Tamandua tetradactyla: one gene and its partners. The protein of the gene in region 3 interacts with the protein of the main gene of each other region in a pairwise test. Links are inferred from orthologs where the notes say so. Each region holds a gene or a part of one and is shown on either strand. Other genes may lie near its edges. The genes, in order: HSPB1, ENTREP1, BAG3 and SF3B4.

Evidence for each region.
Region 1: the proteins of BAG3 (region 3) and HSPB1 interact in binary tests that used the Homo sapiens proteins (3 or more experiments, as listed by UniProt). The link is inferred for Tamandua tetradactyla from reciprocal best matches to the Homo sapiens genes BAG3 and HSPB1.
Region 2: the proteins of BAG3 (region 3) and ENTREP1 interact in a two-hybrid assay, tested with the Homo sapiens proteins (2 studies listed by BioGRID and IntAct). The link is inferred for Tamandua tetradactyla from reciprocal best matches to the Homo sapiens genes BAG3 and ENTREP1.
Region 4: the proteins of BAG3 (region 3) and SF3B4 interact in binary tests that used the Homo sapiens proteins (3 or more experiments, as listed by UniProt). The two-hybrid records come from large-scale screens. The link is inferred for Tamandua tetradactyla from reciprocal best matches to the Homo sapiens genes BAG3 and SF3B4.

Annotation. Positions count from the first base shown.
Region 1 is NC_135349.1:10,412,029-10,418,661, reverse strand, and holds HSPB1 (heat shock protein beta-1), read left to right. Parts: upstream 1-4,461; 5' UTR 4,462-4,643; coding exon 4,644-5,019; intron 5,020-5,653; coding exon 5,654-5,717; intron 5,718-5,828; coding exon 5,829-6,003; 3' UTR 6,004-6,133; downstream 6,134-6,633. UniProt on the Homo sapiens protein: Small heat shock protein which functions as a molecular chaperone probably maintaining denatured proteins in a folding-competent state. Plays a role in stress resistance and actin organization.
Region 2 is NC_135328.1:99,190,853-99,198,820, forward strand, and holds the start of ENTREP1 (endosomal transmembrane epsin interactor 1), read left to right. Parts: upstream 1-4,952; coding exon 4,953-5,369; intron 5,370-7,968. UniProt on the Homo sapiens protein: Functions as an activator of the E3 ubiquitin protein ligase ITCH in the ubiquitination of the CXCL12-activated CXCR4 receptor. Thereby, triggers CXCR4 endocytosis and desensitization, negatively regulating the CXCL12/CXCR4 signaling pathway.
Region 3 is NC_135339.1:82,090,665-82,098,451, reverse strand, and holds the start of BAG3 (BAG family molecular chaperone regulator 3), read right to left. Parts: upstream 3,005-7,787; 5' UTR 2,969-3,004; coding exon 2,783-2,968; intron 2,610-2,782; exon of another isoform or gene 2,569-2,609; intron 2,535-2,568; exon of another isoform or gene 2,038-2,534; coding exon of another isoform or gene 2,035-2,037; intron 1-2,034. UniProt on the Homo sapiens protein: Co-chaperone and adapter protein that connects different classes of molecular chaperones including heat shock proteins 70 (HSP70s), e.g. HSPA1A/HSP70 or HSPA8/HSC70, and small heat shock proteins (sHSPs), e.g. HSPB8.
Region 4 is NC_135330.1:5,899,215-5,906,497, reverse strand, and holds the start of SF3B4 (splicing factor 3B subunit 4), read right to left. Parts: upstream 3,001-7,283; 5' UTR 2,911-3,000; coding exon 2,877-2,910; intron 2,868-2,876; exon of another isoform or gene 2,564-2,867; intron 2,410-2,563; coding exon 2,281-2,409; intron 2,048-2,280; coding exon 1,505-2,047; intron 965-1,504; coding exon 758-964; intron 1-757. Other genes in the region: MTMR11 (myotubularin-related protein 11), read right to left, coding at 4,227-4,373, 4,677-4,970, 5,455-5,637, 5,914-6,087, 6,383-6,549, 7,083-7,153. UniProt on the Homo sapiens protein: Component of the 17S U2 SnRNP complex of the spliceosome, a large ribonucleoprotein complex that removes introns from transcribed pre-mRNAs.

The DNA of each region.
Region 1 (6,633 bases), on a different chromosome or scaffold from region 3:
TTCTGTGGGAAAGAGAGACAACACTTTGGAATGCATGTAAAATTAAAATTATGATTTGGATTGGGGAAAACTTCATCAAATAAATTAATTTTCTAATCCCCAATAAAAAAAAAAAAGAAGGGGAACTTCCCTAGGACATGGGCCTTTCTTACCAAGGAATCCTGAACCCTGGACACACCCTTCTGGTTTTGGGGTGTAACAGCATCTCCCCTGGCCTCTCTCTCCTCAGATGGGGGCCTGTGGGGACCCTCCCGCACCTCCTCTTTCCCCTCCCAACATACGCAGCAGCTAGGAGGCTGGACAGGGCTTTTCTGTTTCCTCTTTGCCTGGCAGAATTTTTCCCTTTCTTCTTAACCATCTTCCTGCAGCCCCAGACCCAAGGCAATGAGGCACAAGTGCCCGTGCCCAGCTAGGGTGTCCCAGCTCTGGGCCAGTGACCCCTGTCCCCTCCCTCTCTGAGATGCGCCTGGCCACCTGCTGCCCCTCTTGGAGCTGAGGATGCCCTCGGCAAAGGGGTCCCATCCTTCTCCAGGCCTCCCCTCCACCGGAGGAGGGCTCTCGGGGGGCCCACAGCCCGGGGGTGCCCCAGCCTCAGGGTCTCCCACTTCTGGCGCTGGGGGCTTCTCTCCCTTATCCCAAATCCATCCCAAGACAGGAATCTCCTCCCCACCTCCCGCAGCCCCTCCCCACCCCCACCCCCAGTCTCCTACAGGTTTAGGGAGGATTCCTACCCCCACCCTTTTTTCTCATCTTACTCTGATTTAAAGAGAAAGCAGCCCTAAATCACACCCAGGCGCAACAGGAGTGGGGGGTGGGGTGCCTCCACTCACTATATATACCCCCCCCCACCACTGCAGCATCAGACTGCAGAACAGGTCATTCAGGGGGCATGGGGGGAAGGAGGAGAGTGGAGGAAAAACTGTTGATTCATGGTTCTGGAAGGAGTCCAGTGGTCTCATTGTACAGATGAAGAAAATGAGTCACAGGGGGCCGGCCCTTGGCCAAGCTGTCAGAGTCCAAGACACCCCAGGTCCCCAGCCTCCCAGCTAAAGAGATTCTTTCTGCCTGACGGCAGGCGGGAGGGGTGGGAGGCTGCAGCACCAGTCTTCCCCACCGGCCCCCTGTGGTCCCTTCAGCAGCCTTGGGGGAAGGCAAGCAGAAGCCCAAGGCCTATGGGGTGGGGCAGGCAGAGATGAGCTTTCGGAAATAGACTCCCAGAGGCACACTGTCTAGACGCTTCTCGAAAGACCCATACAAACACACACACCATGCTATAATTACTACTGCTTGCATTGTCAGTTCCCAGCAGGCCCAGTGGACTGGCGTAATCCATCAGCTGTCAGGCCTCTCCAGGGAGATCAGACAGCTGCCTGAAAATTCTAGTACCTTCTCTGAGGCTGGGCCAGAGAGGGAGGGGCTGGCTCAACCACAATAGCAAAAGCCTGCCAAGGGTGTGGCTAGCATGCCCAAGGCCTCAGTGTGGGGGGGTGGGGGCTGGGGAGGCCGGGCATGGGGGAGGGGGCTGCTTTGGAGTGTTCCAGACTTTAGGAGAAGGGAAGAGAGGAGGGGCCACCTCCAATGCAGGAATCCCCAGACCCTACAGGGGGTAATGGGATGAGGGGACAACTATGACCTGTCCCTGTGGCTTCTGGGAAACCCTTGGGGAATAGAGTTGTCCTCTTTCTCACAGGAAAACTCCCCCTGGCAGCTCAGTGTCCGAGGACGCTGGAGTCACAGGTTGTCAAAGAGTTACTGGGTAGGTGGACGAGGGCAGAATGACATCCAGTCCCTGCTGCCTGCTAAGCCCTATGCCTGGGCACAGAGTACAGCCTCCTGGAGAAGTCTCGTGGTCAGAGCTCCTGGCCTGAGCTGGAAAGGACCACAGAGAACCTGGCCAAACAGGGAACAGGGGGTGCCCACCTCCTCTGCACCCTGGAAGCCCACAGCTCTCCCTGGGCTGCCTGGGAAGTTTCTCCCCTGCTGGACAGGGAATCAAGAGGCCTGAGTTCCAGTCTCTCCCCACCCATTACCAACTTTGTGAGGCAGGGTATGGGAACAATTCTGACCTTCGGTTTTCTCATCTGGGACTGCTAAGACACTCAGAAGCTGTAAAGCACATGCAACTTATTCTGTTACTATCCAACGTTAGAGACCCTCTTTCCTAAGTAACACTGGAAAATGCAGAGCTGGCAGGAGGAGAGTCTCAGCCCCAGGACAGGGGCAGCTAACAGAGGGAGTGTGGGAAAAAGAGGAACTGGGGGACCCCAAGCCAGGAGTCCCACAGAGATAAGAAAGAGCCCTGGGTACGAGGGAGACAAGAAGCTCAGCACTGCTGGTATTTCTTGGGGACAGTGGACATCACTTGGGGACAGTGGACATCATGCATTCGAGACCCACCGATGCCCTGCAAAATGGGTACATTTTGCAGATGGGGACATGTGAGCTTGCAGAGGTCACCAAGCCAGTCCTGTCTGACCCCAAAACCCAGTTTCTTACACCCCACACCCCACTCACCCACTCCCACGTGGCTCAAAGCCATCCATGTCCCCTCCCTTATGACTGGCAGCACATCTGCCCTGGTTTCAGCAAGATGAAGGGAGCTATGAAAAGGGCTTGTGTCTACAAAACGCTGGCAGCCAGGTAGGCAGCCCCCACCCAGAGCGTGGCTGGGCCTGGCAGGGCCACACTTGAAAGCACCCATGATTATATAGGGTGGGGTGCCCTGGACTCCAGTCTGAGCGAAGCTGGGCAGGCAGGGGCGGGTGAGGGCCCTCCTTGGCTACTGATCTCAGCCCGATTTTATAGAGCTGGGGATGAGTGGGGCTGGGAGTGCCAAAGAGCCAAGGCCTGGGACTTCCTGAAGCTGAGACCCTTGGGGGTGGCCTGTGGCTCCCTACTGAGACCCACTGGAGTCATGACATGATCCAAAAAGGGAGATGGGACAGAGAACGGGGTCCTGCCTGCCTCCCACCCTTGACCCCCCAGACCACTAGGAGATCAAAGGCCTTTCCAGAGGTGACCTCAGTTTTGTGACTCAACCCCAGCTCCTCTCTGCTGGGGAGCAGATGGATAAGAAGGAGAAGCACCTATGCGTCCTCTCTCAAAAGGGAAACTGAGACTCAGAGAGGGCATGAGACTTAATGCCCCCCCAGCCCATCAAGGAGAATGGCTGGGAGTCTGGCTCCCACCCCAGGCTGTCCCCTGAGTCTGGGCCTGTGCAGGCCAAGGGCTTAGTAGTCCCCTGCAGAGCTGGCAGGAGGAGAGTCTCAGCCCCAGGACAGGGGCAGCTAACAGAGGGGGTGTGGGAAAGAGAGGAATTGGGGGACCCCAAGCAGGAGTCCTACAGAGATAAGAAAGAGCCCTTGGTTTCCTCATTTAAAAAGTGGGGATAACTGGACTTAAGTCAGGGAGACGGAAGGCTGGAATGGGGTCACGCCTATGTAGGCAGGAGAAGGAGGATGTCAAGGGTATGGCAGGAGCCTATGAGCAGCCCCCTCCAGAAGTAGGATTTGGGGGTGTCGGGATGCCAAAGGATCAGCTAGAAGGGATGGGGTTATGGGCTGGGCCTCGGATGCCCAGCAAGTTTGAGCAACCACACTGCCTCGGGTTCCCCATCCCTTTGCACTGTGGGAATCAGAAGCAAGAGGCACTTGGAGCGTATAATATGCAAAAGGGGAAACTGAGGCCAGAGAAAGGAGAGGCCTTGCCCAAAACGACACAGTATATCAGCAGCAAAGGTCCGACTAGATTCAGGACTGCCGCCCTTCAGGTTGCCGGTCCAGTGCTCTTCAAGGAGAGAGAGACACAAGGGGAAGATTTGGCAGTGACCTTCCCCCTCTCTCCCCTCCTGTCATCAGACCCAGTGTTTCTGATCTGGGCCAGATCTGGGGGCTGGGGGCAGCGGGAGAATGGCCAAACCTGCACAGGCCACTTCCTCTGCAACAGGGCTGGGGCGTGGAGGAAAGAGAGTTTCCCACACACTCTCCTCCAGCCTCCTCCTTTTCTTCCATTCCCGGTAAACAATAATAATGAGTAATTATTACCTCCTGCCCCGAGCTAAAATCTTTCCTCACACCAGTCCAATGACGTCAGCATTATTGTTATCATTAATTTCTATTTTCCAGATGGGGAAACTGAGGCACAACGAGTCTGACGTGCACAGGTCGAATCAGTGAATGGTAAAACCACAGTGGGAACGCAGGCAGACTCCTAAAGGCTATCCCGAGTGCTTCTTAAGACATTTCACACACAGCCCGTGGCTCTAATGCTGGTTCTGCCACTCGCTGGCTGTGTGGTCCGAGACAAGGGGCCTGACCGCGCTCAGCTAGCTCCGTCCAGGGCTTTACCTCCCGGGCCTGCGATCGGTTGTCCGGAGGCGGGCAGTGCGCCAGCCTGGGCGCTCAGGTCATTTGTTTTCTTTACCGAGAGAAGTTTCCAGATGTGGGCAGGACCTTCCTCGTCCCGCCCCCGCAGCCCCCGGACGGTAGGAATGCAGGGGGCGGGGCCGCCCCCAGCCAGTCCTTGCCTTTAATAGAGACCCGAGACACCGCCTGCTAAAAATACCCGGCCCGAGAGCCATAAAAGCCCGGCTCACCCCGCGGCCCCGCACTTCTCGCAGCCGCAGCCCGACGCGCCGAGCCAGCATGACCGAGCGCCGCGTGCCCTTCTCGCTCCTGCGCAGCAGCCCCAGCTGGGACCCGTTCCGCGACTGGTACCCGCCCCACAGCCGCCTCTTCGACCAGGCCTTCGGGCTGCCCCGGCTGCCCGAGGAGTGGTCGCAGTGGTTCGGCCACAGCGGCTGGCCGGGCTACGTGCGGCCGCTGCCGGGGCCGGCGGTCGAGGGCCCCGCGGCGGCGGTGGCCGCGCCCGCCTACAGCCGCGCGCTCAGCCGGCAGCTCAGCAGCGGCGTCTCGGAGATCCGGCACACGGCCGACCGCTGGCGGGTGTCCCTGGACGTCAACCACTTCGCCCCCGAGGAGCTGACGGTCAAGACCAAGGACGGCGTGGTGGAGATCACCGGTGAGCACCCCCCACTGCCCCCGGAGGGCGGCCAAGTTAGGGGGCCGAGCGCGGGGCCTCTGGCCGGTCGACCCCGGAAAGGAGAACTGGGCCGGGGTGGGGGTGGGGGTGGGTGCCGGGAAAGTGACTGGAGGGGCCTGGGGAGTTCCGAAGTGGCCGAGGGCCGGGAGGCAGGAGCCCTGGGAGTTGGTCCCAGCCTGCCGCGGCCGCCTTGGGCGTTGGCCCAGCCCCCAGGCCTGGAACCTCCTGTAGGGTTCTGGGACGGGGAGCCCTAAGGGCTTTTTCAGCTCTGTTAGGGGTAGAAACGCCCTTTTCCTGGGGAGACGCTCCATCTCACCCCGCAAGTAATCAGATCTTCCTGCGCCCACCCATTGGGTGTGAGCCGCTCTGTTCCTGTCCCTAACCCGGCCAGTGCAGGGGGCGTGGCCCCACCGCTTCAAAAGGCATGAAACGAATGTTCCAGAAGTTTCTAAGGCCCGGGTGAATTGGGCTGTCCAACCCCTTCAGTCAATCAGCTCTGGCCTCGGGGGCCCTCTAGAGAGCAGATGACAGCCTGCCCTGGGGACGATGGGGGGTGCGAGAGACAGCCCCCCCCCCCCACCCCCAGCAGCCTCTGACCACCACCTCCCCACAGGCAAGCACGAAGAGAGGCAGGATGAGCATGGCTACATTTCGCGGTGCTTCACCAGAAAGTACACGTAAGTTTGGGGGCCAGACGGGAAGGGAAGAGGTCCCCAGGGAGGGGGACCTGAGAGGGCGTGCAGTGTGGGTGGATGTGTAACTCTTGCCTTCTTCCTGTGCGTGCCCAGGCTGCCCCCAGGTGTGGACCCTACCCAGGTCTCCTCCTCCCTGTCCCCTGAGGGTACGCTCACCGTGGAGGCCCCCGTGCCCAAGCCGGCCATCCAGTCTGCCGAGATCACCATTCCTGTCACCTTCGAGGCGCATGCCCAGCTCGGCGGCCCAGAGGCCGGGAAGTCGGAGTAGCCTGGAGCCAAGTAGAGGTCTTGGCCCTGCCCACCCAGAGTCCTTCCCAGCTGTCCCTGCCCGCCCACTGGATGCTCTTTTGATACGTTTTCTTTCTGTTTAAAATAAAAGTTGGGATTATCAGAATTTATTAACATTAGTGTCACTAAAGTTGGTATACAGCTCCTCACTGCTGAATTTGACTGGCTTTTTTTTAAAAAAAAGTAAAAGAAAGTTGGGAGAACTGCCCACCACTGCCTCAGACTCGGCGTTGTGGAGCCCTTGGGGCAAGTGCCACTTGCTCATGCACAGAGAGTGATTAAGAGAAGCAAATGATTGTAACCAAGTGATTAACTCAAGGGCCAAGTGCAGAACTAGGGGCACCTGACTCGGCCTTGCCCACTCTGGTACACCTAGCCTGGGGACAGGTGAACGGGGACAGCAGGGCCTGGGGAGACCAGCTTTCTGGGAGCGCACAGTCCTTTCTGACTTCACTGTCCTTGCAGAGAAGCAGGACCACCCAGAAGGCTGGGTGGAGGTGGGGTGCAGGCTGGCAACTCCAGGTCCCTTGCTGAGGGGCATAGCCTAGTCCCCTCTCCCCCAGGACCCACCTGTACAGAACGGGGCCTGGGTTCTCAGCGCCCCAGGGTG
Region 2 (7,968 bases), on a different chromosome or scaffold from region 3:
TTGTCTATCTCTGCTCAGTGTGCCTTCCTCCTTCCCTCCCTCCCTCCTAGTGTGTGGGTTTATAGAACAATCATGCATAAAAAGGGATTCCCATCTTCTAACACCCTGCATTACTGTGGTTCATGTGTTATAATTAATGAAAGCATATTTTTATAAATATTAACTGTAGTCCATGGTTTAACATGGTTGTGTTGTGCAGTTCCATGGATTTTTTTAAAATTCTAGTACCATAAATACAACCTAACATTTCCCTTTTTAATCACATTCAGATACATATTTCAGTGCTGTTAATTATGCTCACAGTGTTGTGCTACCATCATCACCATCCATTACCAAAACTTTTCCATCATCCCAAATAGAAAGTCCACATTTTAAGCCTTACCACCCTATTTCCTATTCCTACCCCATCCCCTGGTAACCTATAGTCTAGATTCTGACTTTTGTTCTCTTAGTTGTTTTTTTTTTTAAAGCTACACAGTTCTTTCCCTGAAAAGTGTAAACAGTAATAATTGAAATCACCACTTACCCATCCTCCAATTCCCTACTCACCCCAATCTCTCATCAACATAGTACATCGTGAGAAAACGTGAGATCATGGAACTTGCAACCTTAAAGTTTACAACAGTGAGTTTGGGGTTTTGTCCTTGATATTTTGGCTCTGTAAATTTATTCCACACTGTGATTCACCAGCTTTTCTAAATCCCTGTTCTCTTGCTGGTAATCTGAGAACATACTATGATGGAGAGGATGGCTGACATTCAAAATGTCAGGCCTTCAGGACTCCAAATATTCAGCTGGTCCAGACTGACCCAGCTGAAGTAACACAAGCTGTCATTGTACAGATGAGGCAGTTGAGGCCAGAGAAGCTAGTGACTGGTTCAGGGTCATGAGTTGAGTTGAGGCTAGAACCCAGCAATCGTTCCTCTCCATTAGAAAGCAGTGGTCTCACTAATCACCTGGGCAGCAGTAACTGGCTAGTGACAGTGTTAAGAAATCTCCCCTCCCTTTGTATCCAGGAAAATGGCTTACTGCAAAGAACCACTCTTTCCCGTATGACTTCCAAAAGACTCACAGGTTTCTCCTTGTTTACCTATAAGAAGGCCAGACACAGACCCTCCAAATTTCCATTCTTTGCCTTATAAATGAATAGTTGAACCATTGGTTCCCACTGATCACTGGGAACAAGATGCTCGTTAGCCAGACTTCGGTTAAGCTTCTCTTTTACCTCCAGATCCCTGAAGTGTAAGGGTGCCTCCCAGAAAATAGGCAACATAAAAAGCCTTTCCTTAGATCATGTGACTGTATCATCCTGCTTCCCTACACCTGGCTCTTTCCTCTCTATAAAAGAAAAACCCTCTTTGTTCATCTCTGGAGAAGCTTGCTAACCTTATGGTCAGAGTGTTCTCCCTATTTCAATAGTCCCCTCCTTCTATTGCAACAACCCTTTTCCCCCTTTACTATCATGCTTTTGAAAGTCTCTCTTCACCTAGTTCAGATTTGTTTTTTTATGTCTTCTGAGTTATCACTGGAGACCAGCAAAACTCCATCCCAGTAAATGTACATCTAAATTTGCTTTCCAGCTAAATCCCCCTATGTCTTCCCCTTCCAACAAAAATTTTTGCCCTTAGTCCCCTCCCATATGAAAATTCCTAGATAAAAATTCTGGAGATTGAATAGTGTTATGCACTATTGTTTCTTTGAATCTGTTAAAATGGAGGTTCTCAGGCCTCCTCTCCAGAGAGTCAAATTCCACAGCTGTGGGTGTGGGGAGAGACCTGTGAACATGCATTTTACCACGCTCCCTGCATAGTTCTGTGGTCTGTGGACCATGCTTTGAGAAACTGCTCCAGTCCACCCTACTAAGTGAGAATTCCTAATGCCCAGTAGGCCTTAACTCAAGGAAACTCTTCTCTTTCTGTAAAATTTGTTCTGAGGATGAAGTTTCTTCACAGCTGCCCACTCCCACAGCCTCCTTGAATTAGCTGAACAGTTTGGTCTTTTGAGAAAAGGTGGGAGGAAGTGAGGAATTTTTAAAAGGTGTCCAGGGAAACCTGAGCAAAGGAGCTCCTGTGTGGTAAAGACTTTGAGTGCAGTGATTGGAAAAGGAGGTACAGGGAGGGGTAGATTTTGTGGGAAGTATAGAGAGCCTGAGTGGAATTTAGCCTTGATCTTGAGGAAAACTGGCAGCTGTGTCTTCCATAATTACTGTTTTCCTTGAACTTTCACCTCAATGAAGTGTCTGGGTCAAATTTTCCATAGGCTTTTCCTCATTTTATTTTTTTAAGCCATTCTGAAATGGCTTTGAATCATTCCATAAAAGCTTAGTTGCAGACGCCTTATACAGGTATAACTAGGGACTTACTGTAAGTGAGTGTTTGAGAATGCAAAGAATCGAGCCTCCAAAACCCAAATCCTAATATTAAAGGTGTTATTTGGCATAATCCTAAAGATTGGGGCAATGTCATCTCATGTTTATGATAACCAGAAAAAGAAACTCATGGACATAAATGTAGAAAATCTACAGTACAGTGCAACAAAAAATAAGTACAGCTATTGAGTGAAACTGTCTATGGATTTCAATTACCTCCACTATCATTTGTTTCTGTATAGGGAAATACACATATAAAATTTTTACAAGTAAAGTACTTAGATTCCATGAATTTTCACACAGTTAACTTCAGTCATATAATTAGCACCAGAACAAGAAACATCTTTACCAGAACCCCCGAAACTCACCTTTCCAGTCACTATACATATATCATAAAATTTGCCATACAATTTGGTGGTATTAATTACATTCACAGTGTTTATGGCCATCATCACCATCCATTACCAAAACTTTTTCATCAACCTAAATCATAATTCTGTACCCATAAAGCAATAAATCTCCATTCCCCCTGCTCCTCAGGCCCCTAGTAGCCTCTAATCTACTTTCTGTGTTTATGCACGTGCCTATTCTAGATATGTCATATAAGTGGAATCAAATAATATTTGTACTTTTGTGTCTGGCTTATTTCACTTAGCATCGTGTTTTCAAGGTTCAGACATGTAGCATTTATCAGAACTTTATTCCTTTTTATGGCTGAAATAATATTCCATTGTATGTATAGACCACATTTAGTTTATCCATTGATCTGTTGATGGACCCTTGGGATGTTTCCATAATACATTTTTAAAAGTACATTTCAGATGTCAAGGCGTGTTCAGTAGAATAGATTTGTGATGCTGAGAAAATTTTTCAAAAGTTAATCAGAATGATTGTATTGCGTGGTGTATTAAATCTTAAAAATTAAATACCTTTAAGCTTACGTATGAAATAAAGGATATAACCTCAGCATACAAGAAGTTTTTATTTAATGACTTGCAATTTAAGAACATACACTGTAAGACTTTTTTAAGTGCATGAAACAACAAACTTAAACATTTATTTTAAGAGATGGCCCCCCTTTCCTTCAGAATTTGAAGAGCAGTTTGTAAAAGAGCTCCAGGGGCTATTAATCACAGGTACTTTAATAATTCAAAAACTGTATGCAAACACATTGCATATCGGCAATACAGCACATGTGTGTTGAAGTGATGATAAAAATAAATACAGCCTTTACAAACAGAGCATAAAAACGGATATGTATTTCTTTGGTTTATTAGGCAGTAGATGGTAAATACCCCCACCCCCACCCTACTGATAAGATGAGCTGCCTAGACTGAGACTGGCTTAGCTGCAAAGTGACACTGCTCTAATCTTATCTGGAAAAATCCATTACAATCATTTTAGGTAGGACGCTTTCAAGCATTAGAATTCTTCCAGGGAAAGAGTATTCAAGATCAGGGGAAATCATTTTGAAAAGGCAAAAAAAAATTTTTTAACCTCTAAAGATGTCTCCTAAATTGCCAAAAGTAGTTAAGGGCGCTGATTACAATTTTATTTATGTCCTCGGAAGTCTGGGATTCTGTGTTCTATCAGGTGATACCTAATATAGCTCATGAGTCAAGGCGAGGCCGACGGAAAGTGTAACCCTTGCCACGCGCTCCAGTCCGCCCTGGGATCTTTCTTTCTGGATTTTGGGATAATTCCAAGGTAATCTCGTCTTTTCAGGCGCGCGCTCCAACCTGACACCAGAAAAACCACGTCCTCCTCCTTCTGCCGTCCCGGCAGCTCCGCCGCAGGGAATATCAGAAGGTCCAGCGGAGGCGGTGTAGGAGGCCCAGCGACCCGCTGCCCGGCCACCCCCGCCACCGAGCGGTGACTTTTCGCAGCCTCATCCTTCCCGAAGCCCTGCGATTTAGATCTGTTCTCTTGAAGTCGTCCTATAGCCCCTCCTCCTGCCGTCCCTACTCCCGGGGAGGGCGGGGGTGGGGGGAGTTTATAGTCCGGCTCCCGTCGCATTAAAGGTTGCGGGAGTTGAACCCTCTCTTGGCTGGGCAGGAAGCGGGTCGAGGGTCCACAGCATTTCTCTCTAGCCCCAGCTCTGAGGGCGCCGGACAGACCCTTACACAGTTGGCCGTCAGCTCCGACGCACCCTGGCGGCGGGGAACCTCCTAACTGGAGGGACTTAACTTAAAAAAAAAAAAAAAGAAAAAAGAAAAATCTGGGGCAGGGCACCCTTTCTGGACCCCAGGGTGCAGGCCCGGCTTGGGCGATCAGACGAAGGCGGCTGCTCACTTGCCCGCCGCGCGGCGCGAGCGTAGGGCGCGTGTGGATGTGTGTGGGTGAGAGCGAGGGTGTGCCTGGGGCCGGCCGGAGGCGGGCCCGCCGGGCGGCAGGTGGGTGCGGCCGGCGGGAGCCGGGACAGCGGCGGTGGCGGCGGCGGCAGCAGCAAGTGGTTGGACTGTACGCGTTTCCTTCCCTCCCGCTCGGCCTCGGAGCTCGTCAGCGGCGCCCGGTGCGCCGCATCCGCGGCTCGGCTCCGCGTCCCCTCCCTGCCGGCGCCTGCTGCTCCCTTTCCAGCCCGTCCATGTCCCTGCCTGTTGTGCTCCCGGGCTCCTGCTGCCCGGTGGCCGGGCTCTCGGGCGGGCCTCAGGCTGGGGGCCCAGGCGCCGCGGCGGCCGCCGCCCAGGAGCCTCCGCTACCCCCGCTGCGGCCGCGCTGGCCCCGGGCGGTGCTGCAGCCCCCGGCGCGGCCTCGTGGTGCTGCGGCTGCGGCCGCCGCCACCGGGGTCCTAACTGCGCCGCCTGCGCTGTCCACCCGCCGGTCTGCCGCCGCCGCCGCCGCAGCGCGGGGCTCGGCGCTTCTGCCCGCTCGCCCGCTGCTGTCGCTCGGGCTGCTGCAGCTGATCCTGGGCTGCTGCATGGTGGCGCTCAGCTTCGGGGCGCTGTCGCTGAGCAGCAGCCCGCAGGTGAAGAACTCGTGTCCGTTCTGGGCTGGCTCCTCGGTGAGTGCCGCGCGCTCGGGGCTCATTTCTGCAGGGCCCAGGGAGCTCTGGCAGGTCCCCTACACGGCCCCTTGGTTGACCTCCCCCCATCCCCCCGCAGCCCCCCCCCCCCCCGGGCTGCAGTTGGGGAGCACAACCCTTCAATCCAGCTAAAGTTTTAGGAGTCACAGAGGCAGGAGAAATAGCCGACTTCAGGGATAAACAAGATTGCACCTGAGTATTTCTGATCCTCGCAGGCTACAGGGTTTTATTGCCACTGGCAGTCTAATAGAATAAAGGAAAGACCTCTAGTACTTTGGGAGATTGGAAGAATGGGGGTGGGAGACAGGCAGGAAACGCCTCCAACGATTGAGTATTTACTGCATTTACAGCATCCCCGTTGGGAGGGTGGGATTTTGGTGTATTTTGTTCGCGGATGTTTCAACAGTGCCTGGCACGTAGTAGGTGCACTTGTGGTTGGATGAACTGACAGATGAATGGGAGCGCATACCTTGCTTTATTTCTCATTGAGACCCACTTATATCTGAAATGTATCTGGTGTAGTATGGCTCGACTGCATTTGGGGACGATTCAGAAGGTAATGAAAGGGTGTAGGTAAAAGCGCGCCAGTACCTGATCATTAAAGCAGGGCCTTAAGCCCCTCACTCCGTTCTTGGAGCCACGCAGTCTGCTGCGCAGAGTTTTAATTCTCGGAAACCCCGAACCTGCCATTATCTGTGAGCTTGTCAAAGCTCCAGGAGCGCAGGGCAGCTAGCTGGACATGTCTAGTTCCGGACCTAACTCTGCCTCCTCCCTCCTCTAGTGGGGAAGGCAGATCCTGGAAAAAAGGGTACCCCGCCTTCAGAGAAAAGCTGCTGCAGATTCTATCTTGTGGACGGACTCTCGATGGCCACTCATCCTAGCTTCCCGATAACTTCACAACTCCCAGATGTCCAAACCCTTGAGGTTTGCCCCAGGTTGAGAGACTTGGAAGCAAGTCTTGGTGGCAGGATTGTGAGAGATAAATATTTAAAGTAAATGACCTTTCTATGAATTAACTAAATCTAAGAGTCTGGCAATGGCCATAGTTTTTACTATGATCTGTATAAGATCTGTAATGAATGCATATTCACAATATGTAAAAACTATCCTTTTGAGGATCCACATAAACCCAGGTTCACGACCACATTTTAATACTAGAGGAAGAACTAATATGAACCAAAAGTAATTGAGTAAGAACATTAGGTTCCTCTAGTCTAACCTGACATTTATTACTTAAACCAGTACCAATTTGCTCTCTTTTTGAAATACTTTGATGCTGGATAATCTTTTGGTACATGAGGCTGTATTTATGGTACAGTCTTCCCTGTCATGAGTGAAGTTCACAGTTTGAGCATCAGGGAAACACACTCCACCCTCATGGCGCTGCCCCGGGGTTTTGCTATTGTTCTCTGAAAGTAGGACTTAGATCCATTATACTTCCCAGACTAAATCCAGGCAAATGGTAGGCACATTTCATTTCTCTGAGTACCATGTGCGGGTAATGAATCTTGCATGTATTTTTAGGAATCGGCTCTTTGTAAAATCATAATCTATTTGGAATTATCAAAAATGATTCCCCCTCTTCTAAAACTAAAACCCCCAAATAGCTTTCTATCGTGAATTATTTCAGAGGCAAATGTACTTACATGTCACTCAAGCCACAGCTGGATTTGATAAAATATAAAAAAGGTCACCAGCTGCCGAAAGATGAAGGCCCACCAGGGTTTGCTAGCTGGGTGGGTCCTGATTCCCACTCAGGTAATACTTAGCAGGACTGGACCAACCAGAGTAAGGAAAGAGCAGTGATTTGGAATGGACAAGATCTATTATTCTTAGCAGTTCTTTCTTAAAACCTACCCCCTCTCCGCAGGTCTATAGGCAGTCTGGTAATTTGGTTATTCTTGTTTTTTTTTGTGTTGTTTCTGAGGTTAACCTCAAAATTTGCAAAGAGGTAGCAGAGCCAATAGATACTGTGTCTACAAAACAATTAAATACAATTTCAAGAGGATGGCTGTATGCACAAGGATTCTCTTGGTGTTTCAGTAAAAAAAAAAAAAAAATATATATATATATATATATATATATATCTCACCAGTAGCATAGGTTTTGAGTTTATATATGTCAGAGGTTGATTTTTTAAAAAAATTCTGTATTATGGAACAGAATTTAAATTTGCACAAAAACTGTACAATGAACTCTCATATACCCTTTACCTAGCTTCCACAATTATTTCATCTCCCTTCCTGGGTCCTGCTATTGACCTCTGTAAGTGTTCTGATAAACTCCAGAAAGATGGGCATTCCAAGACACATGGGAATTAGATCCTTCATGCTTCTTAGTCCATTTGTCAGATTAAATTCCTATATTATTTTGAAGCAAACAGACATCACATCATTTCATCTGCGAATAATTCAATGTGTGCTTTTTTTTTTTAACTTTTTATCTTGAAATAATTTCAAACATACAGGACAGTTGCATGAATAATACAAAACCTATACAGAGAACTCTAGCATACCTCCCCCCCTGCCCAGATACCCAGATTGACCAACTTAATTTAACATTTTGCCACGTTTGCCAA
Region 3 (7,787 bases):
GCCACATCTTGTCTGATCACTTCCCTATGCCCAGCACAGCCACCCTGCCAGACTCTGTGGGGTGCTGTCTTCCTTCCCTCACCACGCCTCCTGCATACTCACACCCACCAAAGCCTTACACCAGGCACTGGGCGAGTTTCACCAAGAAAAGCGGCGCCAAGCAAAGCTCTGCCGGGGAGATATTAAGCAGGTACTGCTTGGGAAGGAGCCCAGGGTCTACAGACAGGGGCACAGTAAGCAGCAGCTTCTTCTACAAAACGGGGATCACAGTCCTTCAGGGGCTCCCTGTTGCCAGGGTGGTAAACAGAAACCTGAGGGAGGCATTTTAAATTCAGAGATTCTTGAGCCCCACCCTGAACAATTCAGATTAAACATGTTGGAGGGATGAGATGGGGGGAGCAGGGTGGGGCTGATGACGCAGCAGGCAATCTGTGTTCTTAAAAGGCTCCCCCAGACACAGCCAGGCTTGGAAATCAGTGCTCACGACCTCTAAGATTTGGAGATTCGCAGCACTGGTCCTTGAGAGAGGAGGGTCTCTTTCTCCTGCCAGAGGTTTGTGCACGATACTCCAAGATACCCAACCTGTTTTATTCAGGGAGGAGACCAGGAAAGAGTGGTTTCCTGATTCCTAAGCAAATGCCAACCTCTCTGCCAGGAAAGGGGTCTGGATTGATAGGAACTTGTCAGGCAGTTCGTGGGAAGCCCAAGCGTGTAGAAAACTGAAATCCAGAAAACTGCAGGTGGGGAGGTGCCACAGCTTACAATGGAGGTGGATAAAACTCAACACCTTTGTCTCGAACCTTCCCGGCTCTGCAATGAAGGGTAAAACAGACCTCCACTGCCTCCTCTGAAAAACGGGGGTGAAAGAATCACTCTAACCACTTCAGGGGAAGGTGGTACAGTCAGCTGTGAGAAGATGGAGTATAAATGACTAAATAAAACACTAAGTTCTAGTCTTTTCCTTCCATGAAAGCCACCTCTTTACCAACACGGTTAGACCCTAAACATCCTGAAGCTGAGTCCTTGCAGAAAAAGTACTTCCCAAATTGCAGATGCTCAAGGAATAGCTTCTGATTGACAACACTTCCTCTTAAAGGTGAGGATGCTTGGAATGTCCTCTTAGCTGGGGCCCTTTGCTCACTGTGCATTTTACATTGTATTTAACCTTTCCCAGGATCAGACTTCTGATTTAGTAGCTCTTACTTTCTATATGTATTTTTTAAAGTAATTATTGTAATTCGGTCTGTTTCTTCTCCTCAAGAAGTTTTATGAAACTACAGCCTAACCCATCCACCCGGCGGGTACGGGAAGCAAAGCAGCAAGCAATCCAACTCCCTGAGAAAGTTCCATGTTGAAAACAAAGTGCTGGCAATTTGGGTCTCATACTGAACTCCCAGTGTTTGTTTAAACCTGATCTTCACTGAAAACAAAGGGTGCCAGCAGCTTCTAACAAGCCCATCTCTACAGGGAGAACACACAAAAAGGTGCATATAATTATGTCCAACCCAGCTAATTACACCTTCTAGATCTAATTTTCAGAAATAAAGATGCAATTAACTCCTTGTAAATGTAAACTGCTGAGTGTAAGATACATCACTTTTGGACACGAGAGTTTTACCAATATTTTAAAGGAAAAAGGTGCAGAACATCATAAAGGTCTTTCTTCTAAAATAAAGCCTTGCAAAGCATATTTAACTGTGACTTTTTAAATCTTCAAAATAATTTACCAGTTTCTACTGCTTTTATTTTGCACAGACAATATTAAGTTACCCTTTAAGTACACTATTTTTTGCAAACGTTCTATTTTGAAAAATTTTAATTTGTAGAAAATTGTTTCAATACAACTAATTATAATTTTTTAAATTACCAAATGTATAAAAACTGTCATGCTTCTAAGGGTTAAGAAGTAAATACTCTTACATGTATTTAGATGAAGCATATTTCTGCTGTATATAAGTATTATTACTTAGTTATTTGTGTATGGGAAACAAATCCTAAATATTTTAATGCCATTACAAGGAAGGGAACACATACCATTAAAACAAACAAAAATCATCATTCTCTTTCTCTCCAGTTGAGGCGAAGTCTTAAGGGAAGGGCCAACTGCCTGGAAGAACAGCATCTTGTTTTTAACAAATCACACTGAAACTCAATGTTACTCAAAAAAATCCTCAAACAACGATACAACAGTAATTTTAAAAAGAAAAAAAAAGAGACTACTTATATCAGCGTCCTGAGTCACTCTGTCCGCGAACCGGGAGAGTAAGGTCAAAATAACTGTCAACCAAGTTGTCCAGAAGTAGAGGGGGAAATTCGGAAAAGCCCATCCCCCAGGCACCAGGGGTCGGCGGATGAGAGAACCTTCCAGTAACGACTATCTCAGGACGCGGAGCAGAGCCGGCGGCAGGGCCGGGCCCAGGCCTCCCGCTGACCAGGCCCGCCGCCCCTTCCGAGCCCGGGAACTTGGGGACAGCTCTTGACGCCCATGCCTCCACCCCGTCCCGGGTCGCACTTCCCCGTCCCCCTCAATCCCCTCGCAAAATCAAACGCGGCGCGGTGAGGACTGACCTCTCCGGGGCACTCCGTCACCCCCACGCCTCTCAAGGCCTGGCCAAGCGCAGCAGGGCGAGCTCGGGGTGGGATGCCCCGACCCCCGGTGCAGGGACCTGGGAGCTGGGGCCAGCCCCGCGCTCGCCCAACCCAGTCCAGCCGCCGCCGGGCCGGGCCTGTTCCCCCGTCGAGGTGGGGCCGCCGGCCGGGGCGTGGCGCGGGTCCGGCTCACCTTGGGGCCCTCGGGGGGCACGCGCGGGTCGTTCCACGTCGTGGTGCGGCTGTTGTGGTCCACGAAGAAGGGCCAGCCGGTCTGCGGGTCGATCTTGATCTCCCAGCCCGGAGGCAGCGGGTCGCGGTCGCCGGCGCTGTTGCCGGACGCCATCTGCACCATGGGCGAGTGGGTGGCTGCGCTCATGCTGGGCGCGGGGTTGGCTCGGAGTGGCGGCCGCCGGAGCGCGGAGTGCGGGGTCCCCGAGGGCTGGGGCGCGGGATCCCGGGTCGCGGGGTGCCGGCCTCCTGGGCGCCGAGTCGCTGGGCCGCCGCTGCGAGGACCTCGCCGCCGCCGGAGTGTGAGCCTTGCGCGCCGCCGACGTGTCCGGGAAGCCGGCGCCGGGCACCTTTATGAATTAAAGGAGGGGGTGACGTGGCCTGAGAGGGGTGGAAGGGTCTGGAAATAGCTTCCTCACTGCCAAAGGGGAAGGAGGAGATAAAGGGACGTAGCAACTGGCCGGGTAGAAACTTCTGGTCCCATCCAGAGAACTTGGCGGCGCCCGCGGGTTGGATGCGGAGCTCCGCCCTGAGTCATCGGCTCTAATCATGGCGCGGCGTGGCGCGGCGGGGCGGGGCCTCGGGGCGGGGCCTGGGGGGGGGCCGGCCGCCCCTCCTCCCACCCGGAGCCCTCCTTCCTCCTCTTTTCCCTCCTTGGGGCTGCCCGGCAGAGGTCGCCCGGGGGTGAGCGACGACGCCTTCGCGACATTCGCCTGCTGGTGGTCAGCTGGGTCCGCGGGCCCCGCCCGGGGGCGTCCTCCGGTGTCCCCAGGACCGGTTTCGGTTTTCAGACTGCTTTGCGCCGCGTGGGTGTTCCTCGCAGGGGTGGGAGTCCGCGCTGCGTGGCGGCTGCCCCACCTTCGTATAGAAACGAAGGCATTGTGAACCTTCTGGGTGGTTTTTAGCTACAGTTCTCTCACTCCCCCCCGCTGCCCCCCGCCCCAATACACTGATATTAGGAAAATCATGTGCTTTCCTGGGGCCCGGGGACTGATAGGGAGGAGTTCTGGAAGACTGCTCTGACACCATCAACAAAGTCAGGCAGAAAATGTAAGTGCCATGGAAACTCACCTGCCTTCTTTTTTGAAACCTGAAGAAGGAAAAACCATGGTTTTATTCTCTTTGAATCTTATGTCTCAAATACAGAAACTCTCATTGCAGTGAACAATTCTAAAGAAAAGTCACATATAAAAAATTGTGGTAACATGTACCCAACATTTTCCACTTTAACCGCTTTCAAGTATACAATACAGTGGTGTTAATTACATTCACAATGTTGTGCTACCATCACTACTGTCCCTTGCCAAAATCTTGACATCACCCTAACAGGAGCTGTACCCAAGCCTTAATTACCTATTCCCCACCCCTCCACCATCCTGGTCCCTCTAATTTATTATTTTTTTAAAGTAGAGTTTGGTTTTTGCTACCAGATTGAAAGATAAAATTGCAAATTGTGACCTCTATTTGGGAAGTAGGGGCCAAATCTTTTTTACCAGTAAAAAGATTTGTTCGGTTGATTAAAAGGTGGTTGCATTTGTAACCTCAACTAAGCACCCTGAGTCACCTGGGAGGTCTTTGCCCAGAAAAGAGAATGTTTGGGAGGTTCCATTTTATATCTTTGGGCATGCAGACTCATTCACTGGGAAGCTTTTTTGGACTAATGTTAGGCCCAATTTTCCAACTCAGATTCAGAGAATATCCTGGAACTCTAAGAGACCCCCTTGCCTCTCCCTATGCTTAGCTCACTCCTTCTAGAGCTAGGAAGGCCTATCAATCATTTCCAGTGGAATGATCACCACTTACAAAGGTATACTTAGCAGCTTTGAAGTCCCAAAATTCAATTTTGTGAAAACATGCAGGTGATTTAGACTACAAGGACTGTGTCGGCTCACCAAACATACAAGAGACTGATGTATAAACCCGAATGCCATGCACTGATTTACCATGAGAAATATTACTGTTGAAGGCCCTGGACCCTCATGTCACTCGTGGTGTCTAATGTGTCTTCATATCTGAAGCCCTGAGCACAAGGCTGGGTCCAGAATCCATATTCAGTAAATGTTGATGTTCATTGAAGAGGAATCCAAAGTGAGTTTTTATTCCTATTTCCTTTGCTCAATTTACTTTCCACTACAGTGTGAGTTTAAGTACTGACGGCATTCTTTGCTGATCTTTTTTTTCCTTTCCTTTTCTTCTTTTGCTAGACAGAAGCAGGGAGGAAGCAAGTTTCTCTGGAACTAACCTAATTGCTTCTGAGGGTTGTGTGCCACGAGGGACTTATGGATTTGTCTAAAACAGAGCCCTGAGTCTTAAAAGCTGGTTAGAAGTTTCTTCAGGCTATGCTTTATTACAGATTTCTTGTAGAATTTCTCACTGGTAAGAGTAACCTCTGTCTTAATCCAGAAGCCTGTGACATAGCCTCAATGGGAGGCCTCAGATACACAGACCAGAAAAAAGAATAAAACTTGGGTATTTCTTCACCGAGTTCCAGACAGTGAGTCTTGACTTTTGCTCAGATTTTCCCATCAGCTTTAGCCACTGCTCCAGAGTTCAGAAAGATGTAACCAGATGAGTTACATGGGGAGACTTGGTTAGAGGGTTTCTTGCCACCAAATGAGACAGAGTCCTGCTTTCCATCCTGTCTCTCCTGGAAGAACTTACTGTATTGCTTATTGACCACAATATACTTGGTAAGTTATTTTACAGAGAGAAAGGGAACACGGTATTGTTTGTTTTATGGAATAATCTGAGGGATTACATATCAAATCAACTAACTCCAAAGCTTGAGTAACTAGAATTTCTTCTATTTTCGTGGGGGAAAAAACCCCAAAAAACAAAAACAAAAAACACGCTGATATTGCCAGTCTAAGGGTATTGCCTTTCCCAGAATCACTCTGTGTAGTTCTCTGTCGTATGCCTGTTAAAAAGTCAGGAATTGTTTTCTTTTTCTGTGTCTTCTGTTGTACTGTGAGCTCCTTGAGAGCAGGAACTGGCTTTTATTCTTCTTGGTATCATCAGGACCTAGTGCCTGGCATATCAAAGTTGCTTAATAAATGCTTAAGTGAATGAGATGATATCAGTTAATGATTCCAAAAGTCCATCCAGCATGCCTTGGGGTAGCCCTAATTTAGCTTAGTCCTTTATAGCTATAAAGTTCCACAAGACAAGTAAATATTCACAATGATGAATGCAAAGTACCTTCACATCCATCTAAGAAAGGTAAAATTGAATACAAAATAGTTGGGTTATTTTACAAAATTTGGTAATTCAGATAACTAACAAACCAGATTACTTTTATTGAATACATACCATGGTCTCTTCCCTTTAGGGAATGTATAGTCTACTTTGTGTGTTTATGTTATTTATTACATTATATAGTATCCATTATATACTATGTGTATTAGTCAGGGTTCTCTTGGGAAACAGAACCAACAGGAGATATCTGTAAATATGAGATTTTACAAAGTATCTCACACAACTGTGGGGATGCAGGAATCCAAATTCCATAGGGCAGGTTGCAAACTGGCAATTCTGATGAAGGTTTTCAATGAATTCTCCAGGAGAGGCTGGCTGGCTGAGGTAGAGATAAAAGTTCTCTCTTCTGACTGCTGAAGTCTCACCTCTCCCTTAATAGCCCCCCAACTGACTGAATTAAATCCAGCTGATTGGATTCTCCAATTGGGGAAGACACCCCCCTTAGTTGATCAAAGATGTAATCAGCCATAGGTGCAATCAACTGACTGATAATTTCAGTCCACAAAATATCCTTGTAGTAATAGTTAGGCCAGTGCTTGCTTGACCAGACAACTGGGCGTCATCATCTGGCCAACTTGACAAATAATCCTAACCATCACACTATGTTATATATATATATATTTAAATCAAAGTAGCAATTTCTCCAGTCTTAGGGTACACATTCCCCAAGATTTCTGAAGTTTATTTTCCCAGCCTGAGCTTCACCCTGGATTCCTTCTTCTCTCCTACTATCCAATCATCACCAAGTCTGTAGACTCCACCTCTTAAATGTTCCTTGACTCTGTCAATTCTCCTCTATCTTCATTGCCACCAGCCTGGCCCAGTTCACCCTCATCTCTCATCTGGATTCCAGCAGCAGCCTCCTAATGGGTCTCCAGCCTCAAGTCTTGTTCATCTCCCCTCCATGACCCACAAGGAAGCCACAGTGACCTTTTTCAAGCGCAAAATGGGTGGTGTCCTTTCTCTGAGTAGATCCTTTGATGGCTCCTGGTTGCATTCTGTATACCAAAGTCCAAACTCCTTGGCCTGGTGTACCCAGGTCCTTCCCCCCTCCACCCCCATCCCCAGTGTTCACTATGTACCCACCCTGCTGAATTAAATCATGCACACCCTGCGCTTTCTTTTGCCTCCACACACGCTTCTTCCTCCACCTGGGTACCTTCTCTCCCACCCCCATCTACCTCCCACTCCCTTGGCCTGACTCCTCTTGGTCTTCAAGTCTTTGGCATCCCTTCCCTCATCCTAGTCTGCATCTTGTGTCCTTTCTAAGTACTCTCGTGCAAATCTTGTGTCACCCTTTCAGCTACATGCATGGCAGTTGTTTGTCTGATTGTCCGATTTGTCATGGATTAATTCTCTTGAGGTCAGGGGCAGACCCTTCATCTCCACTGTTTCTCTACCATCTATTATGGGGGGCAAATAATAGTAAAAACAACAATGAAAATTGTAATGGCTATGATTTACTGAGTGTGCTTACTGTATTCTGGGTACTCTGTTAAAGGTTTTATGTCAATGATCTCATTTAATCTTTGGGAGGAGGCTGTGATGCAAGTCTTATTCCCACAGTTGCAAAGTGCTGCAGGAAGACTACGCGCCCTTGTCAGTCCCCTTTGGGGATTGGCTCAGTTGAAGAAAACTGCCTTCCCCAAGCAGTCTGGAAGCCTCCCAATGGCTTGTGTACAGAGGGTTATGTATAAAGGTCCAGGCCGTTT
Region 4 (7,283 bases), on a different chromosome or scaffold from region 3:
GAAATAATGAGGGCCTGGACTAGATTACTGGCAGTGGGGGTAGATGCCAGAGATATTAACAAGACTTGATATTAAGAGCAGAGTGATAGGAAATAGGCAAACATGACTCCCAGGTTTCTGAATTAAACATCTGAAAACAAATCATGCTAGAGGAAGAGTAGGTTTGAAGGGGAGGTGGAGAAAATAAGCTCAGTTTTCATCATGTTTGGGTGGAGGAGCCCAAGGGATAGAAGAGTAGAGCTGTTCAGGAAGCAGCAAGAAGATCAGGGGCTGCAGTGTGTCAACAACCATGGAATACAGATGAAGATCTAGGAGGCATCGGTGAGTAAGTAATCGAAACTATGGAAATGTGGAGAAAAAGAAAACCAAGGATAAAAACCTAGGTACATGCAAAGAAAAAGGAGCCTATTTAAAGTGGCTGAGATTGAGGAGTCAGACAGACAGATAGAAAATCCAGAAAAACAGAAGTCAAAAGTGACAAGAATTTCAAACAGGAGGACATGGCCAATTTCAAATACAGCAGAGGTCAAGTCAGATAAGGAGCAGAAAAGTCGCCAAGATTTGGTAATTTTAGGATGGTAGTTGTTAAGGCAAACAGAATGAAGTTTTTATAAAATAAAAGACAAGGAGTGATGTTTTTATAAAATAAAAGACAAGGAGTGCTCTGAGGGACAGAGGGCAGTTACAAGAGTGGTGACAGAGAAATAGCACACCTCTGCCAAGATCATCCCTCCCTTTCCCAGCAGAGAATACCTACCTGGATGGGGCATCCCACCTGGCGGGAATGGGTGGGGATGTGAGTGTCCATGGCCAGGATGCCCAGCCCCTGGGGTTCCTGCTGATGGAGGGCCATGTCCTCCAGCTCCAGGAGGCATAGGTGGTGGGGGCATGGCTGGCGGTATTCCGGGTGGAAGGGCTCCAGGAGGTGGTACTGGGGGTGGGAAGGAGCCAGGAGGAGGCATGCCTGTAAAGGAAATGGAAAAAAAAAAAAGAGTTAATGGTAGTAGGGTAAAAATGGTAGTAGGGAGAGAATGCCCTAAGCTGGCCTCTCTAGGCACATTTACTGCTTTTCCTCTCTACCCAGCTCTCTAAAGTCAGACGGAGCATTAGATTCAAACAACTTCAACCTTCTAGAGGAATCCAGCAATGAAAGTTGTAAAGAAATTCCTCACCACACCCATCACCCCCAATTCCCTTCTAATCACCCACTGACTCACCGTCTCCCTTTCTCCAATTCTTTTCCCTTGTGCCCCACACCTCACCAAACATATTTTCAATGAAAAACTTTACCTAGTGAATTGCCCAACACAGTGAACCCTAAGTCAAACTACAGATTTTAGTAAATAATACAATTATAAAAATGAGCTTTCATCAATTGTAACAAATGTACCATACCAAGGCATGGTGTTAATAATAGGGGAATTTTATGGGAATCCTGTATTTAATGCTTGATTATTTTATAAACCTACAATTATTCCTAATTTAAAAACAAAAAAAACTTTACCTGGTGGAGGAAGCCCAGACCCCAATGATGATACCACAGGATTGGGGGCAGAGGGTGGAGGGGGTGCATCTGCAAACAGCTGGTGAGGGCGGTCAGCCTGGGATAGTGGGTTCTGGGCTGCCAGAAGTCGTTCAGCTGCTGAGCCATGGCGTTCACCCTTAGAGTCCTTCTTGAAAGCATAGGACACAGTGATAGGGCGGTTACAGAGGTACTGCCCATTCATGGCCTCAATTGCAGCATCCGAAGCATCAAATGAAGCAAAATTAATAAAGGCATAACCCTTGGAGTTGCCTGTATCAGGGTCCCTCATGATCTTGGGGGTTTGCAAGATAACCCCAAAGGCGCTGAACGTATCATAAAGGAGCTTCTCATCAATCTCTGGGTCCAGGTTCCCAATGAAAATGTTGGCTCCTACATCCAGGTTTTTATTGTGAGCTGATGCCTTGTTGACCCGTATTGGCTTTCCATAGAGTTTGATCATGTTCATGATCTTAATAGCATAGTCAGCATCTTCCTCACTCAAGAATTCCACAAAGCCATAGCCTGAGGAGTTTAAAAGAAGAGAGGTTAACTACTGAAGAGAAGAGATTCAAAATGAGATGTAACTCACCCCACCCCAAGGCACAAAGAACAAAAAAGAAAATAAAAATCTCACTTCAATGAAAAGCTTCCAGGAACAAAAAGGAAAAGGAATCTTCAGGCTGTTCATCCCAAAACAGTGTTTATAGTGTTGCCAGGGGCGGTCTGTTCCCAGCATCTTTTTCCTTGTAACTCACCTTGGTGCTGGCCAGTGACTCTATCCTTTGGCATATGGGTGTTGACCACTGGCCCTGCCTGGAGAAACAGCTCCCATAGCAGCGGTTCGCTAACCTTCTCATCCAGGCCCCCCACGTACACAGTGGCATCTGGAGATTAGGGTGGGGGCGTGAGAATGACAGGAAATGGGGTGACAGGAACATGCGATAGAATCAAGGCAGAGGGATTGGGAATGGGGTTGGGGGATAGGAGCAAAAAGGCAACAGAAGGAAAAAGAAAAATCATGTTAGAGTTAGATTAAACCTTAAACCTTCTTCTTCCCAGGACTGAGAGAATCTTCTGAAATCAAACTTGTGTTCTGCTGAAAATTCTACGTGTACGTGTGCTGTTTCTTAGATGCAAACAAAGTCAGCAGCGGAATAGACGGACATACAAGGCTTCGTGCCTACCGGCCCCAAGCGGCACCCGGCCGACCCCCCGCCCCCCAGCAGGCCTGGCGTTCGGCCCCGCGCCCTCCGGGGGTAACAAATCATCCGCCCCGGCGGAACCCCTGCTGGCCCACGTCGGGGCTATCCAGCCCCGCTCGCTCCATTTCGGGATCGTCCCCTCCAGTCACCCTGGTTCCGCTCAGAAATAGGCCCGGCCGCCATGGCGAAGGCGCTCCTGCTGTCTCCAAACACTGGCCCCGCCCTTTGACCCCCACCACTTCCACTTCCGGGGCGGAGGCGGACGTGATGCGAGGCGGCGGGCGGGGCCACAGCGGAGGGGCCGGAAGCGGCCGCGGCCATCTTAGGAGCCGCTGAGAGTTGTGGTCTCGCTCGTGTTCTCTGTCGTGCGCCAGGTGCCGCTGCGAGGCGCTGCGAGCGTCGGTTCCCGGATGACCAAAACCGGGATGTCCAGACCCAGTTGAGGTTGTGCCAGGCGTTAAAGGGTTAAACTGTTCCCTGAAAATGTAAATACGAAATCTAAAGAAACAAGCCTTTTCATATATGTTGGGGCCAGATCCGTTCCCCAGAAGAGGGTGTGTTGCGGAACCCCCACCAACCCAAGGACGCGAAGGCAACCTTCGCACAGTCCCGGCTTGGGCTTGAAGTATTTCGTTTTCCCTCAGAGGAGGGGACTGCAAAATTCTGAGGTGGGAGTGTCGTTCTTGGCCAACCTGAGGCTCAGTGATGGGGCGTGACGAAGCCCGGGCCCCAGTAACAGCATCTTTATTAGTTCCAGGCTCTAGCTCCACCTGCCCCTAAGGCACGGAGAAGAAAACCATTTTCCTCAGTAGCATAGGAATTCTGCAGAGCCTCACCTGATCCGGTTCTCTTTTTCCTTAGCGATAATATGGTGAGTCCCTTCCTCCCCCGAGTCACACCCACCCTCCACCCACCACTGTTTGCTACCTGTTCAAACAAAACAATTCCAGCAATGTGTATAAATACGGTGCTTTAATGAATTCCCTAAATAGAAATGTCACTACAAATATAAACAGTTCGAGGTGGCAGGGTATCTCCCATTCCCATGGAAAACTGTAAAAAAAAAAAAAAAAAGAAATAGTAATTGGAATTAAAGAGGAAGCAAGAGGGGGTAGCAATGAGATCTCTAGGCCATCTTGTTGGGACTGAGTAGCATCTCTGATCTGTCAGTTTAAGGGCTGGCTATCCCAGAGGGGTAGACTGGCCTTGAAAACAGAAATCACCTTCTGTATTGCTTTGATAGTTTTTGTTTTTACTTTTCAGTTTCTCAAATGACAAGAAATAAAAACTAAGTCTTTAGGAATCAAACAGGGCAGAATAAGAGTTGGAGAAGGCTAGCACCACCCACCTGCAATAAAAACTTGACACTACTGGCTTTTTAAAGGGCTGGAGTGTGGAAACTGAAGCCCAAAATCAGATAAGACAAACTGAGGGATTAGGCAGAACCCTTCCCTCATCCTGGACCTCGCTGTGTCCTACCTGTGAGAGAGTCAGCAATTTCAATGGGATTGGGTGAGAATGGAATTTGGTTCTTTTTTCTTGGAGTGATCCTCAGGAGATATTCTTGGTGTCCACTTTTTTAATAGCTCCTGAAGATGAGATAGCTCATCCTGGAGGCCACAGACTGTGGGGGCTGAGAGGCCAACCTGGGGAGAGGGCAAAGGGACAGAGAGAAATATTGCAGCTCTACACACTCTGTTTCTAAGACCTGTCCGCTTCTGCTATCTTTAATTCTCTTTTCTCTGCCAACAGAGCCCTAAGGCTCTATTTTATCTAAGCCACAGCAGTGTTCCCACACCCTACACTCCCAGACCTGCCCAGTTTGATACCAGCAGGAACGGTACTTCACTTTCCACTCCACCCCAGCTCTTTGCCTTTCCAGCTCCTGTTCATCTAGTCCCGTAGTCAAGCCCTTTCTCCCACTCCCAATTGCTATCTTCTTTTCTCACCTGGATCTCAGGCCGTCCCCTCAGGTAGCAGCGTCTCCATAGCCTGATCTGGGGTCCCAGATATCCAGGGCGCAGCAGCCCAGGGGGCAAAGGGCAAGCCCCCCAATGTGAGGGGAGACCCCACTCCTGGTCTGCTAGGCTTTCAGAAGAGATAGCAGGTCGAGGGAGCCAACGAGAAGAGACTGCCAGCAGGAAAGGACTGTCCCGCCAAGGACAGAGCTGATTCAGGGGTGTCAGGGCCCCTCTAGAGAAAAGCCATACAGAACTTGGAGGTCCAGGAACCATGAAACTTGACTACAGGGGAAAGGGAAAACAATTGGTAACCTAGAAACCAAATGATCCAGTTTCTATAGGTTCAGTTTCTATGGCCCCTTCCTGACTCAGTTTCCCCAAACTGAGTCAGGAAGAGGTGTTGAGCTGCCCCTCTCACTGCACTAGCGATTGAAACTACAAATCGTCCCCTGAGAACTCTATTTACTCTCCTCATTAAGCTTCAAACTAGGCCTCAGAGATGACTGAAGTTGATTTTTAGAGAAACTTGTAAAATTTGTGGATAAGAGGAAGATTAAATCAAAGATGAGGACAAAGATAATAAGGCTGTCCTCTATGATATTTTAGAGTTTATGTCTTCCTGGGAACAGTCAGGGGCCATAAATGACAGCTGTAGAGGAGGAGTGGGATAACTTCCTCAGGGGAACTCAGTGAATCTTCTCACTTCCTTACCTATTAGGATGAGTCTGGGAAAGTCAAAGGAATTCAGGAAATTTAGATGACTCACCTGCTGCCTGGGGAGCCAGGAATCTGGGTGGTACTCTGGGTCATAGCAAGGATTTTGGAATTGCAGTATTTGTTTATTGCTGTAGCGTAAATCCCAGTCCCAGACAGACAGCTGTGAGTTAATAGAGTTCCCAGCTGGGGGCTGGGAGTATCCTGGGGTGTAGACTTGTGTATAGGAGTTGAACTGGACAGGGGAAGTTTGAAAAAAAAAAAAAAAAGAAAAGGATGATTAAGCAAAAAAATATATAACTCTCCCAAATCTAGAGAGAAATCATGAAACCCAACTCTTATGCCAGGAATCAGATGCAGGGCATAAATCCAGTCTGTTAAGTGAACATCACCCTCCCCTTCCCCACCGACAGACCTCACTTCTCTTGTTATAAAATAACTAAGGCTCAACTTCAGAGAGTAATTCTCAATGGGGTAAAAAAATGACAAGTCAAAAATGTCAGTCACTTACCTGTCCACCCTGCTTTCCACGTTCCCAGGGAGTATCTCTCAGGAAAGTCAGGGTGTCAGGAACCCTGACACTGTCATGAAGAGCAAGAAGGAAAAACTCAGAGAATTCAAACTCAGCTGGGAACTGCTGGAGGAGCTGCCAGACACAATCAAGGAAGAGGAGAAACACTGGGGCCTGAGAAGAGAGAAATTGAGAGTGTGGAAGGAATAATCGGACCTAAAGAGGCAAGATCGCAAAATGATGGAGGATGAGGACACAGGGAACAAGGGGCACTAAGAAGGTCAGGGAATGGAAATCGGAATTGAGGGTAGTAGGGGATTGTGGAGCCTCAGTCATCTGGGTCTCCCTCCTGCCTGAGCTTAATCTTAGAACCTTTGTGATCTGATTTTCCTCCAATGGATTATAATTTTCTCATCCCCTTACTTCTTTAATAGTACCCCCAAATGAACCCCCCCCCCCAAATCCTCACCTCCTCACTGGCCCCAGTTTTCCCAAGCCGTGTCAGGAAGGGGTGTCCAGCTGCCACCCATTCTCGTTGCACTAGTGATTGGAAGCCAAGCAGTGTTCGAGCTTCAGGGACTGAAAGCAGCTGGACGAGTGAAGAGAGGAGGCCATTGAAATCACGATCACCGCGCTCTGGGTGATAAAAAAGGGAGAAGGGGCAAAGAAGCAGGACCAAGAAACTAGGGCAGGAGAGAATGAGAAGAGGAAACATGGCAAGGAGAAATGAGAGGCACAGAGGTGAAAAGTTGTGGGTAAGCAGGATTGAGAGGGCACATAGAAGAAGTGAAAAGAAAATGAAAATAAAGACCTTGAATAACTCACTTCATAGACTCCACCCCATTAGAAAAATCCAGCTTCACAAGCTGGAAGCAGAATCACAGTTCTTTAACTTCCACATTGCCCTTCCCACCCTAACCATCCACTGATAAAAGGAGGGAGCGGAGGGGCCAGGAATCCTAGTGTTAGGGAACACAGCTATAGTGGGAGGGTGGAGGTAGCACTGAAGGGTGAGAGAACTCATAGGTACTTCACAGTAACTCCAAAGGAGAAAGCTTACACTAGAAGGAGACAAGGGAGCCTTCTGGGTCTCCTTCCCTGGGTAGAATCCAATTAGGTGGGCACAGGAAAAAGGAAAAGTGTGGCGTGGGATGACCCAAGGAACTCACCCTGAAGTACAACAGAGCGAACCCTGGCGGTCACTAAGACTGAGATGTCACTTGCCTTTCGGAGACAAGACCTGGAGTGGCAGGGGATGAAAGGAAGGAAGAATGAAAATCCTGAGGGAAGGGAGTAGAGATAGATCATGGGGTGGGATAGAGGCAGACTCCAAGATCCTGCCCCTTCTCCTTCTAAGGAGCAGTAAATAG